3 linked regions of the Xenopus tropicalis genome follow. The protein of the gene in region 1 binds, or shares a complex with, the protein of each later gene. Links are inferred from orthologs where the notes say so. Each region holds a gene or a part of one and is shown on either strand. Other genes may lie near its edges.

Region 1 (3,794 bases):
TGCCAGACGAGACGTAGGGCTGATATTTTCGACAAGCGGAAAAACGCTTGCTGAAAATACCGCCCTACGCCTCCTACTTGTGCCTGCACCCGAATGAATGAGATACGCTCGGGTGCAGGCACATGTCGCCCAAATACGCATAAAAACGCAAGACTTTGCATTCTCTCGTGTTTTTATGCGTATATCGGCTACATGTGCCTGCACCCGAGCGTATTCTATTCATTCGGGTGCAGGCACATGTAGGAGGCGTAGGGCGGAATTTTCAGCAATCGCTTTTCCGCTTGCCGAAAATATCCGCCCTACGCCTCGTCTGGCATTAGCCTAATTTCATGGCCAGCTTAGATTCACTTACCGCTGCTGGGGTCACTAGACATTAGGCTTAGGTTTAAATTATAACACTAAGCCTGAGGTATGGAGAGCATTTATGCTTAAAGGGCCACGCATATTAGGTTTTATAGTGATGTAATTATTTTTTTCCCTATATTTCTGTTAACTCCCTTTTCTTCATCCTTTCCTTAATGTTAATCTTCTTACTCCTATGTATACAAGAACCGCTACTTTGAGAATCCTCCTGTAATTGCTGATAACACAGTTCCTGCTCCGGAAATGGTTGGCATGATTTCTACCATAGTGGTGAAAGTGAATCCAGAACGGGACGACAGTGAAACCAGAACTGTAAGTCTTATGACCGGTGTCATTGGCAGGTGAAGGGATGTATACAGAATAAGGCAGATTGTTATTGGTCATTAATCAAAAATGCTAGAGTGGGTTACCGTCCCCCCCCCCCCCCCCAAATACAGTGACATTTCCTCCTACAGTCAGTAGGAAATCGTTATCACAATGAGCCAGTTCAATAAAATGAAAAACACTGTTTGAGGAGGCCCCAAATTTTAGTTTGGTGAGCTAAACTTTAAGGCAACTTAAATACAAATTTTGGCTGAATACTTGCGTGCACTTGCATGTAAATGTATGCTCTAATGTGCATTGATCGAACGCTGGATATAAAGAGTATTTCTCTTGCAGGTGTCTGTGGGACACAGGGACCATGGGTATAGTAGGTACCAGCAGGAGGCAGGACACTAGAAGAGGAAGAAGAGAACTAACCCCTCCTCCCTGCTACTATACCCCCACGTACTTCCTGCCTAAGCCAGTTTTTTTCTAGTGTCCCACAAGGAGACAGGATCATCCTACTCTTCGAGTCTGTTTTCTTCAGCCAGATTCAATCTGGCAACCGGGGTCGTCCTAGAGGCCTCCAACAGGAGCTACTCTACTTAGGCTTCCCCCTACGTGGGAAAAAGTGAGGACGCTGGGGCACGTAAGTTACAGCCCTGCAGACACCCTGCCTCTGAATACAGAGCGCAGAAGCTGCCCAGCGCCTCCCAGTACTGTGCCTACTATCTGGCATTAAAGCGTGCCTCTCATAGTAGCCCTGCTCCCGGCAGGCTATTCAGCCCAACCAACCCCCTTTCTCTACAGCTCTGCCTTCTCCGTCCTAAGCCAGCCCTCAAGTGCTATCTCTTCCCCTTGCTCCCCTTCCTAGTCTGCCCGGCTCAGCCCTGCCTGCCTGCCTGCCAGCACTGCCTCTGCCTCCAGCCTCTTACCTTCACAAGCGCCGTTCACTGTAGGCCCCATGCGGCTCTTCTGTAGCGTCTATCCTCCATGCGTTCCAGCGATGCGTTCCACTTCCTGCTCGGCGGTGACGTCAGCGATCTTTGCGCCACTTCTCCACTTGGGTGCCCTCTCCTTCTATCCTCCGGATCGCACGGCCACTTCTGCTCCTTCTGAACAACTCCAAGAACAGCAATCCCTGGGCAGAGGCACTGGCACACAGGGCTCACAGGGACCACGGTCTATTTTTTTCTACTACTACTGGCAGGGGTCAGGCGCTGGCTAGAGGGAGAAAGGCATTAAGGGGGTTGGGTCCTTATTGGGGACTGTATGTGTGTATATTTCTAATGCTTCTCTACTGCTTTTATGCATTGCTAAGCACTTAAAGCACCTCTCTCCCAGAGCACATGTAATTTTTCCATATTACCTTCTAGATAGGTGTATTAACACTACACTTTCTCTGGATATTATTTTGGCATGTACTGACCTTATGTACTAGCTCCCCAACAGGCACTGTACTAGCTTTGTACTGACACTGTGTACTAGCTCTGTACTGGCACTACCATACACGGGTCGTTATTCTGTTTACACCCCTTTTTTCTGCATTGGCACCATAACTCTTGTAGTGCTCTGCATTAATATTCGCTTGCTCCTACACTAACTCTTTCAGTCCTATGGCAGAGGGCAATTCAGGGGGCCCCTTTTCCAGGGGGGCTTCCAGCTCCTCCAAGGTCAAATTTCTCGCCTGCGCCAGGTGCTGCAAACGCCTACCTTCCGGCAGAAAGGAACCACTTTGCTCCTCCTGCTCCAAAACTACGGCTGAAACTGCTTCCCAGGCCCAGGACCCTACTCCACCGGTCCAAGCTGCCGAACCTGCGGATGATGCCACTCCTGCAGATGCACACACAGCACAGATACCGACCGCGGCTCCTAGCCAGGACCCTCCATCCTGGGCAGTCTCTCTATCCACGGGCATTCCCAAACTGGCCGCATGTCTGGACAAACTCCTGGACAAGCTAGATCGGGAAGACTCGGACACTCGTCCCAAATCCCTCAAACGTCATGTCCCCATGCATGCCGAGGACTACAGCGACTCAGAATCACCTCAACTATCAGCCGACTGGGACAGACAGTCACTAAGTGAGGGCGAGATATCGGATGATGATGACCTTGCCGACACCGAGGAACCTTCCAGACCTCCATCAGAAGCCGTAGATTCTCTCATCGCGGCAGTAATCTCCTGCCTCGATCTCAAGACCCCAGAGTCTCAGAGCTCAGCACAAACGCTTTTCAAACGCCAGAAAAAGCTACTTTCCATGTTTCCTACTCATGAACAGCTAGACAGCATCATTCAGTCAGAGTGGGATCAGCCAGAGAAGCGCTTTCAAGCCAATAGGAGGTTCCAGCGCTCCTACCCATTCCCTCAGGAAACCCTTCATAAGTGGTCTACGCCACCTTCAGTCGATGCTCCCGTCTCGCGCCTTTCCAAGAACACTGCCCTTCCGGTCCCCGACGCTTCCTCATTCAAGGATTCCATGGACAAAAAGACGGAAGGTTTCCTCAGAGCCGCATTTACAGCGGCCGGAGAAAGTCTGAGACCGGTTTTGGCATCGGCATGGGTATCTCGGGCCATACAATCCTGGTCCGACTCCCTCATGGAGGGAATCAACTCTGGCGCCGCCAGACAAGAATTAGCGACCCTGGCATCCCAGATCAAAGATGCCAATGAATACCTGTGCGAAGCATCCCTGGACGCGGCTCAAGCCATCAGCCGCACATCAGCTCTTTCGGTAGCGGCACGTCGTTCTCTATGGCTTAAACTGTGGTCAGCCGACCTCTCATCCAAAAAGTCTCTAACCTCCATCCCCTTCAAGGGCAAGCTCCTGTTCGGTCCTGAACTGGACAAAATCATCAGCCAGGCTACCGGAGGAAAGAGCACCCTACTCCCACAACCGAAGAACCGTACCTCCTTTCGACGGGGACGCTTCTTTCGTGGAAGGCCATCTAGGACATCATCATCATCATCCAGGGACTACCAATCTCAGTCCTCCAACAAGCCTAGATTTCAGGGCCGTCCAAAATTTTCCTGGCAAAATAAGAAACCCCAAGGCAAGACTTCCAACAAGGCTGCCACAGCATGACTACCTTCCACAACAAAACTTCACCCCGGTAGGAGGCAGACTCCG
Region 2 (3,794 bases), on another chromosome or scaffold:
ATGAAACAACACAGACCCAATATAATAAAAGTGACTGAAACCACTATCCAAGTCTGTACATCAAACAAGCAGAAGGAACCCTCCTCCTAACTGAATCTGTATCTCATACAGACACACTGTACTACCCTCCAACCCAGGTCTGGGCTGGGATTCAAAATTAGTCATAGTACTTTAAGTACAGAGATCCAAACAGCCCCCCAGCAGCCCAATAAATAGTGAGTGTCTATGGCACCTTACAGCAGCCCCTCTGGCATTTGCCTGAACCCACAGATTGCCAGTCCGGGCCTGATTTTCAGTACACAGAGGCCCAAACAGCCCCCCAGCAGCCCAATAAATAGTGAGTGTCTATGGCACCTTACAGCAGCCCCTCTGGCATTTGCCTGAACCCACAGATTGCCAGTCCGGGCCTGATTTTCAGTACACAGAGGCCCAAACAGCCCCCCAGCAGCCCAATAAATAGTGAGTGTCTATGGCACCTTACAGCAGCCCCTCTGGCATTTGCCTGAACCCACAGATTGCCAGTCCGGGCCTGATTTTCAGTACACAGAGGCCCAAACAGCCCCCCAGCAGCCCAATAAATAGTGAGTGTCTATGGCACCTTACAGCAGCCCCTCTGGCATTGGCCAGAACCCACAGATTGCCAGTCCAGGCTGGTCCAACCTACACATCTCACATGTTTTGCGACTGTTATGCACTATACTACATTGCTAGAAGCCAGATCATAATAAAATGATGTCAAACAGAGATCGTTGGACACATAAAAATCAAGAGTTTGGACTGATATTAGTATTGGAAGTATTATGGTGGACAGATGTTCTGTGAACGGCAATGTGTCCCCTGATCTCACAAGTTACAATACCTCTAGGCTTTCAGGCAGTCACATGTTTGCAGAAATAAGGCAAAATAAAGTAAAAAACAAAAAAACCTTCCCATTTTATACAAATAACAGGATTTAATAAGACCAAATGAAGAAGGTGTTTATCCCACATGTTTCACAGTATTAGCTAGAAGTTATTTGAGAAAGCGTGTGACAATACAAGGTAAGCCAGGGGATCACTGCAAGGGGGTGGGTTCAAGAAAGCAGTTATGCCTATTTTCAAGGCTAAACAGGTGTATTTTTCTCCAGTGCAGCAATGCATTATAATGCCCAAGACTAGAAAACCCAGATGCAACGTATGCGCCACTCACCTGATACTGTTTCAGGATGCCGTTAACCAACAGGGTTGACTGCTTGTCCACCTTCTCACTTACTGCGTGCGCCACTGCATAGTAAGACTGGAGGCCACTGGTCTCAGCATGTGATATACCGTACTCGTCATCCACATCCTGTCGGGCATTACTGGGAGGAAACATACAGGCACACTGTCACTTACTGAGTTACATATTGGCAATTTGGTTATTGGAAGAGAACCGGCAGCCTTTCGGCCCAAGTATGTGCGGCTTTAATAAATATAATGCAATTCCTGACGCCCCCCCCATACTTACTCTATTATTTCCCGTGCATGCACCTCAGACACATCGTCGCTGTCTGGATCAGCAATTTTTTTAGTCTCGTCCACAGCCAGCAGGGAAGTGACTGAAGGCTGCTGTTGTTCATCTTCTTCCTGAGCCATAAAAGTATCAGAGGTATAATAAACACTGTTTTCAAGAGCCAAGCATAAAAGCCCCACATAGACGGACATAGGAGGCAATAGGAAGGAAAAAAAGGTTGACCGTCCGCCTGTCCTCCAATTCAACTTACCTCTTCCTCATCCTCTGATTCACTCTCCTCGGTATCGGACCGTGGTGCAACTTCATACCTATCCAAGAGAAAGTAAAGTAGGTTTTAGGTAGAAGTTTTTTCTGCCCAATAAACTGCCACAGCTCAAGCACCGTTACCTTTGCCTAGCCCCAAACATACCCAGGGTTCATTTCAAGCCATGCCTCCAGCTGCCCAGCCTTTGGCGCATCAGCACCCGTCAAGATCTTTCCGCTTTCCACATGGATCACTTTGATTGGGAGGTCGCTCATCTGGCTGGTCTCATCCAGTGGCTAGGATACAAACAGGTACACAAGTTACGTAAAGTCAAATCTTCCCTGGAACAGGATTACCACCACTACACCCTCACAGCAAAGGGAACGTCTCTCCAAACCAGCCTATATTCCATATTCCCTGCCCACCTCTCCATCAGGTCCAAGTGCCGATTGCTGGCCTTCTGTGATCTCTTGCACCTGGAAGAAAACGAACAACTTGTTCACCAATCTAGATTTCACTTTGCTCCCTCGGAGACCCCCTACACCATTCCAATAGGGGCAGTAACAAGTTTCACAGCTAAGTGGAATCTCTGGCAATTATCCCACCTTTTTCTTTTTCCTTCTCTTCTTTTCTTTGAGGGCTTGCACTGCCTTGTGCTGCCGCACCAGTTCCGTCAGATTTGCTACATACTCGTCCGTCTGCTGCAGGAGGTAGGCCAGACGCTTGTCTTTCTTCTGATCGATCAGCTTTCTGTAGCCCTCCTCATCCTCAGCCTAAAAGAACAAAATACATTGCAGCAAGAAAATAAATGCACAGGAAAACACAGTCAGATATACACTCAGTGTTGCCCCAACAGTATATCCCATTAAATGAAGCTCTTGTGCCAGGGTAAAGGGCAAGTACTAACCATGAGCCTGCGCATTCTCTCCTTCTCAATCCTTTCATTCTCCTTCTTCTGCTCTCGCTCGGTGTTGGCATGGTACGTGGCCACAGCCTTTGTCAGTTTTTGGATCTTCCCTGTGACTGAGCGATGGAATTCCTTGAAGTCCTTGGCATGTTGGAGGATGCTGTTTAGATACTCCTAAAACATGAGAACAGCGGCAGAGGGTTGGCATAAGATACAGAAGCATCTGGCACACACAGGAACTCTGCATATTGTATGAGCCAGATGCACCAACAAGTCAGGTCCATCTACAATCACAGTTGTAGCCCCGCAATAAAAGTCCAAGTCTCAGAATTATCTGAGCTTGATGCCAAAACCGCCATTATTCTTGCCCATACCTGGTGCTTTTGTCTCCTCTTGCGCTCCTGCTCAATCTTCTGCTGCTTTTCCAGTTTTTCCGTGATACGCGCCTCGCGCAGGGACTGCCGCTTGCTGCGTTTGTAGGCCTTTGCGTTTAGGGCGGTCTCAAGGGCCGTGTCCCTCCGCATGCAGACCACAACTTCTTGCCGCAGCTGCACAATAGGAAACCAATTTACAAAGTCAGCTCTTACTTATAAAGAAGACTTACATTAAAGAGGTAGTTCAACTTTAACTTTCAGTATGTTATGGATTATCCTATTCGTCACTTTTTATAATTTCTGCCCTTTCCAGCTTCCAAAAGGGGGAGGGAGTGGTGGTTACTATCCTTGGCAGTTAGTAGGGCTACAATTTTTTTGCTAGTTTTTATTACTCTTCTCTCTCTAGGGTAAACTGGACCCTAGGAAAAGAATGGAACTGCTGAAACTGTGAAGAGCAGTTGTCTCAGCATGTATCTGCACAATGTTATAGTTAAACTACCACTTAAAGGGGTTGGTCACCTTAAAATAAACTTAGTATGATGTTGAGAATGCTATTCGGAGACAATTTGCAGTTGGTCTTTATATTTGTGGTTTTTGTTTTATTTAGCTGCTTTGTTCAGCAGCTCTTCAATGTGGAAGTTCAGTAGCTAACTGATTGCTAGGTTCCAATTTAATTTAGCAACCAGGTAGTGGTTTGAAAGAGACAGAAATATGAATAGAGTATAAGTAATAATGATAAAACTGTAGCCTCACACAGCAATATAGTTTTTCGGCTGCT
Region 3 (3,731 bases), on another chromosome or scaffold:
CATCCTCCTCATCCTAATAAGACAAGAACAATTATTATTTGCACCTCTAAGTGTTGCATATTCACTAATCTAATGGCAAATCAGTGAGGGCATTTGTAGATGCTGCCATTAAAGGAAAACTAAACCCTAAAAATGAATATGGCTAAAAATGCCATATTTAATATAATGAACTTACTGCACCAGCCTAAAGGTTCTGCATCTCTACAGTGGTAACGATCCAGGTGTCAGGGGCACTGCACATGCTCAGTGTGCTATGAGCTCAGGTCAGACAGTGAAAAGATGGGGAGCTACTGGGGGCATCTATCTTCCTGCCTTGGGACTTGTTTTTGGAACCCCAAAAGCTAAGGTGTAGTATTTCTAGCCCACTAGAAAAGCTTTAAGTTAAGCTTTAAGATAGATTAAGAACAAAAAAAAAAACAAAAAAACCCGGAATGGGACTGACCTATTGGCCCACAGGCCAGATACTGTATAAGGAGCTAAGCAAGGTAATGTTGCCTATTGCCTGTATGTTTGGCCCATTGCCCATATTACCAAATTTACACGTAACCCCAGCTTTATTCATTTTGGATAAAAGTTTTGCAAAAATGACAACATAATGCAATTTAACAGTCAGTCATTGTTTGCGGTGCACTTGATCACCTCCACAAACTTTATATTACTGTGTCCTGCCCAGGGGCGGGCCAAGCCGACCGGGCGCCCTAGGCAACACGGGTCAGCCACCTCGCCCCCGTGTGCTTTCGCGCATGCGCAGTTGAGGGGGGCGGGGTTTGCGACGCGATCGATCATTGCTCCCACCGCATGACAAGCGGCGGGCCAATGACTAAGAGAGCAGACTAGGGGTAGGCAGGAGAAGGTCCTGCAAGGTGCCCCCCAATCGTTGCGCCCTAGGCAGCTGCCTCTTCTGCCTACCCCTAGTTCCGGCCCTGGTCCTGGCCATCTACCTGGCAAAGAAGCGTGCTAAAAAAATATATTCCCAATAACCTATGATTTATATGCAGATCTGAATACTTACACGAATCTCTTCTTTCATTAAATACGACAGCCCAACTTCTTCCTCCTCCTCCTCCTCCTCTTCGTCTCCTAAATCTGAGGCACCTTCTTCATCCTCATCTTCCTCGTAACCCCGTGGTCCTGGTTCTTCATCATCATACTCATACTCATCATCTGTGTATGCAAAATGCATGTAATGGAAAAGGTCGATGGCACAGCACTGTGCAAAGGGGTGAGGACTGTATTTTAAATCTAGTTAGATGAATCAGTGTCTTACTTTATGTTCAATGCCTGCAGGGTCGGACTGGGCCGATGCGACACCAGAAAAAACCTAGCAAGCCCCAGTGGGCCCTGCACACCCCCCAGTCCGACCCTGAATGCCTGTGTGCTCTCTAAACTTTAAACTCAAGCCTATGATTAAGTGCTTGGTAAGCATAAAACGCGTTAGGCTTTGTACATGGGGTTTATTTTAATGGAGCAATAAAGTTCATATCTTTTAGCTTTTATGCTTTCGTGCAGATTTATATTTAGCCACTGTTCCCCTCTTTGGCCATTAGAGGGTATAAATTGCACCTATATTCCGGATTTTTATATACAGCAATAATGGTCCCACATTCTGGCTTTTGAAGGAAATATACTAACATGTGACCAAAGCCCGTATAATTAGCTTTGGTTACCCATTGGACAAATCAGTTAGAAGCCAGAATCATGTATTCTGTGGGCCATGATTACCGTGTTTAGAGAATTATTCAGGCCTAGCTTAGCCTATGGATACATGTCAAACTATTAAAGAAGAATGTATGCAGGTTATAGATATAAAACAAACAGGATATTTACCATCATCATCCTCTTCCGAGTCTGGGGCTTCGTTATCCTCCTGATCAAACCCATCCAGGTATGTAATTTGGGAAAGCCGCTGAAAGATGTTTTCTCTGTAATCTTCTAGGTTTGTGATCTCACAGTTAAACAGGTCCAAGCTCTTTAAATTTTTTAAGTTGGCCTGAAATCAAAATAAGATGTTGCCTTAAGCATAAATTCACGGAGCTGAATACTTACAGCCTGAGAATGAATGGGTGGATTAATGCAATGGTGCGCCATGATGGAGCAGATAAGCAAACAATGCAATACAATTAGGAATCAATAGAATGCTAGTTTAGGAGAATAAAGTGGGAATAACCTGTTGGTTGCAGAAAAAAGTGTTTTAAATTAAATGACAATATAATGTTACCCTGCACTGGTAAAAACTATTTGCTTCAGAAACATTATTATAGTTTATATAAACAAAGCTGTTGTGTATCCAAGGGAGCAGCTATTCAAAGCAGAAAAAGGAGAAGAGAGACAGGTTACATAGAACAGAAGCTCTGCAGTATACAATGGGATTCTACACAGCTTATCTGTTATCTTTATGTAACCAGTGCTATTTAGCCCTAATTCAACTTGAATGGCTGCCCCCTGGCTACACAGCAGCTTTGTTTATATAAACTATTGAAGCCTTTCTGAAACAACTTTTACCAGTGCAGGGCAGAAGTACACTTGGGGGTATATTTATCATGCTGTGTAAAAAGTGGAGTAAAACATCACGGGTGATGTTGCTGATAGCAGCCAATCAGATGCTTTGCTTTGGTTTTCCAACTGTTGAAATCTAATTGCTGAATGGTTACCCTGGGTAACATCACCGGTAATGCTTCACTCCACTTTTTACACAGCATGATAAATATACCCCATATTTTAACCACTTTTACATTTTTTTGGCATTACTGTGCCTGCAATAAATCTTTGCTTAGGCGGCGACATAACCGCTCATAAATGCCTTTCCACCGGCACAAATACTAATCTCTGGCGGATAGGCCTTTACAGTGCTTCAGTTTTCCAAATTCATGCAAAGTGCCCTCCTGCTGGCAACTTGGTGCAACTTCAGCAAACCAAAGTGATGCCAAGGCCTTTCCAGCAGCGACTCCTATTGTTGCTGGCGGAAAGGCATTTTGGATCGGTTAGTTGCCCGCGATAGAGAGCTGCCATATTATGTAGGGCATCACCCTTAAGAGGGGCTTGGATGACTTCTTGAACAAGCATAATAACCAATATCTATTGTGATCTTAAAGGTGTTGTTCACCTTTGAGTTAACTTTTAGTATGATGTAGAGAGCGATATTCTGAGACAACTTGCAACTGCTCTTCATTTTTTATTGTTTGTAGTTTTTTTGTTATTTCAGCTTTTGTTCAGCAGCTCTCCAGAGTTTCAGCAGCTGTTTGGATCCAAATTACCTTAGCAACCAGAGTGTTTGAATGAAAGACTGATAGGTGAATAGAAAAATTAAGTACTAAAACGTTAACACTTAAACTGTACTTTCACAGAGCAATAGTTTTTTTTAGCTGCTGAGCCCCATTCGAAAACTGCAAATAGTTAGAAGGGAAATAGTTCAAAAACTATAAAAAATAATGAAGACCAAAATAAGTCGCTTAGAATTGGCCATTCTGTAACATTCTAAAAAGGTAAATTAGGGTGAACCACCCCTTTAAGATCTACGTTTAGTATAGGTATAACATATGTATTGATAGTATTATTATCATTTATAAAGCGCCAACATATCCCACAGCGCTGTACAATAAGTGGGTTTCATACATTGGGCATACAGAGTAACATATAAAGCAGTCAAGTAAAGCTATGTGTACATATAGGCTCTGAGCATTTGAAGGGGTTTAAACTTTTCCACCCAAAATAACTACATAACCTGAAACTAT

Evidence for each region.
Region 2: trrap (region 1) and smarca4 share a complex: the UniProt entries of both Homo sapiens proteins name them as parts of the BAF53 complex. The link is inferred for Xenopus tropicalis from reciprocal best matches to the Homo sapiens genes TRRAP and SMARCA4.
Region 3: trrap (region 1) and anp32e share a complex: the UniProt entries of both Homo sapiens proteins name them as parts of the SWR1-like complex. The link is inferred for Xenopus tropicalis from reciprocal best matches to the Homo sapiens genes TRRAP and ANP32E.

The regions. Positions count from the first base shown.
Region 1 is NC_030685.2:26,342,092-26,345,885, forward strand, and holds part of trrap (transformation/transcription domain-associated protein), read left to right. Parts: intron 1-549; coding exon 550-675; intron 676-3,794. UniProt on the Homo sapiens protein: Adapter protein, which is found in various multiprotein chromatin complexes with histone acetyltransferase activity (HAT), which gives a specific tag for epigenetic transcription activation.
Region 2 is NC_030679.2:138,920,250-138,924,043, reverse strand, and holds part of smarca4 (transcription activator BRG1), read right to left. Parts: intron 3,191-3,794; coding exon 3,017-3,190; intron 2,817-3,016; coding exon 2,643-2,816; intron 2,509-2,642; coding exon 2,341-2,508; intron 2,212-2,340; coding exon 2,161-2,211; intron 2,032-2,160; coding exon 1,901-2,031; intron 1,800-1,900; coding exon 1,742-1,799; intron 1,605-1,741; coding exon 1,486-1,604; intron 1,340-1,485; coding exon 1,189-1,339; intron 1-1,188. UniProt on the Homo sapiens protein: ATPase involved in transcriptional activation and repression of select genes by chromatin remodeling (alteration of DNA-nucleosome topology).
Region 3 is NC_030684.2:129,175,956-129,179,686, forward strand, and holds part of anp32e (acidic leucine-rich nuclear phosphoprotein 32 family member E), read right to left. Parts: intron 1,991-3,731; coding exon 1,828-1,990; intron 1,165-1,827; coding exon 1,013-1,164; intron 14-1,012; coding exon 1-13. UniProt on the Homo sapiens protein: Histone chaperone that specifically mediates the genome-wide removal of histone H2A.Z/H2AZ1 from the nucleosome: removes H2A.Z/H2AZ1 from its normal sites of deposition, especially from enhancer and insulator regions.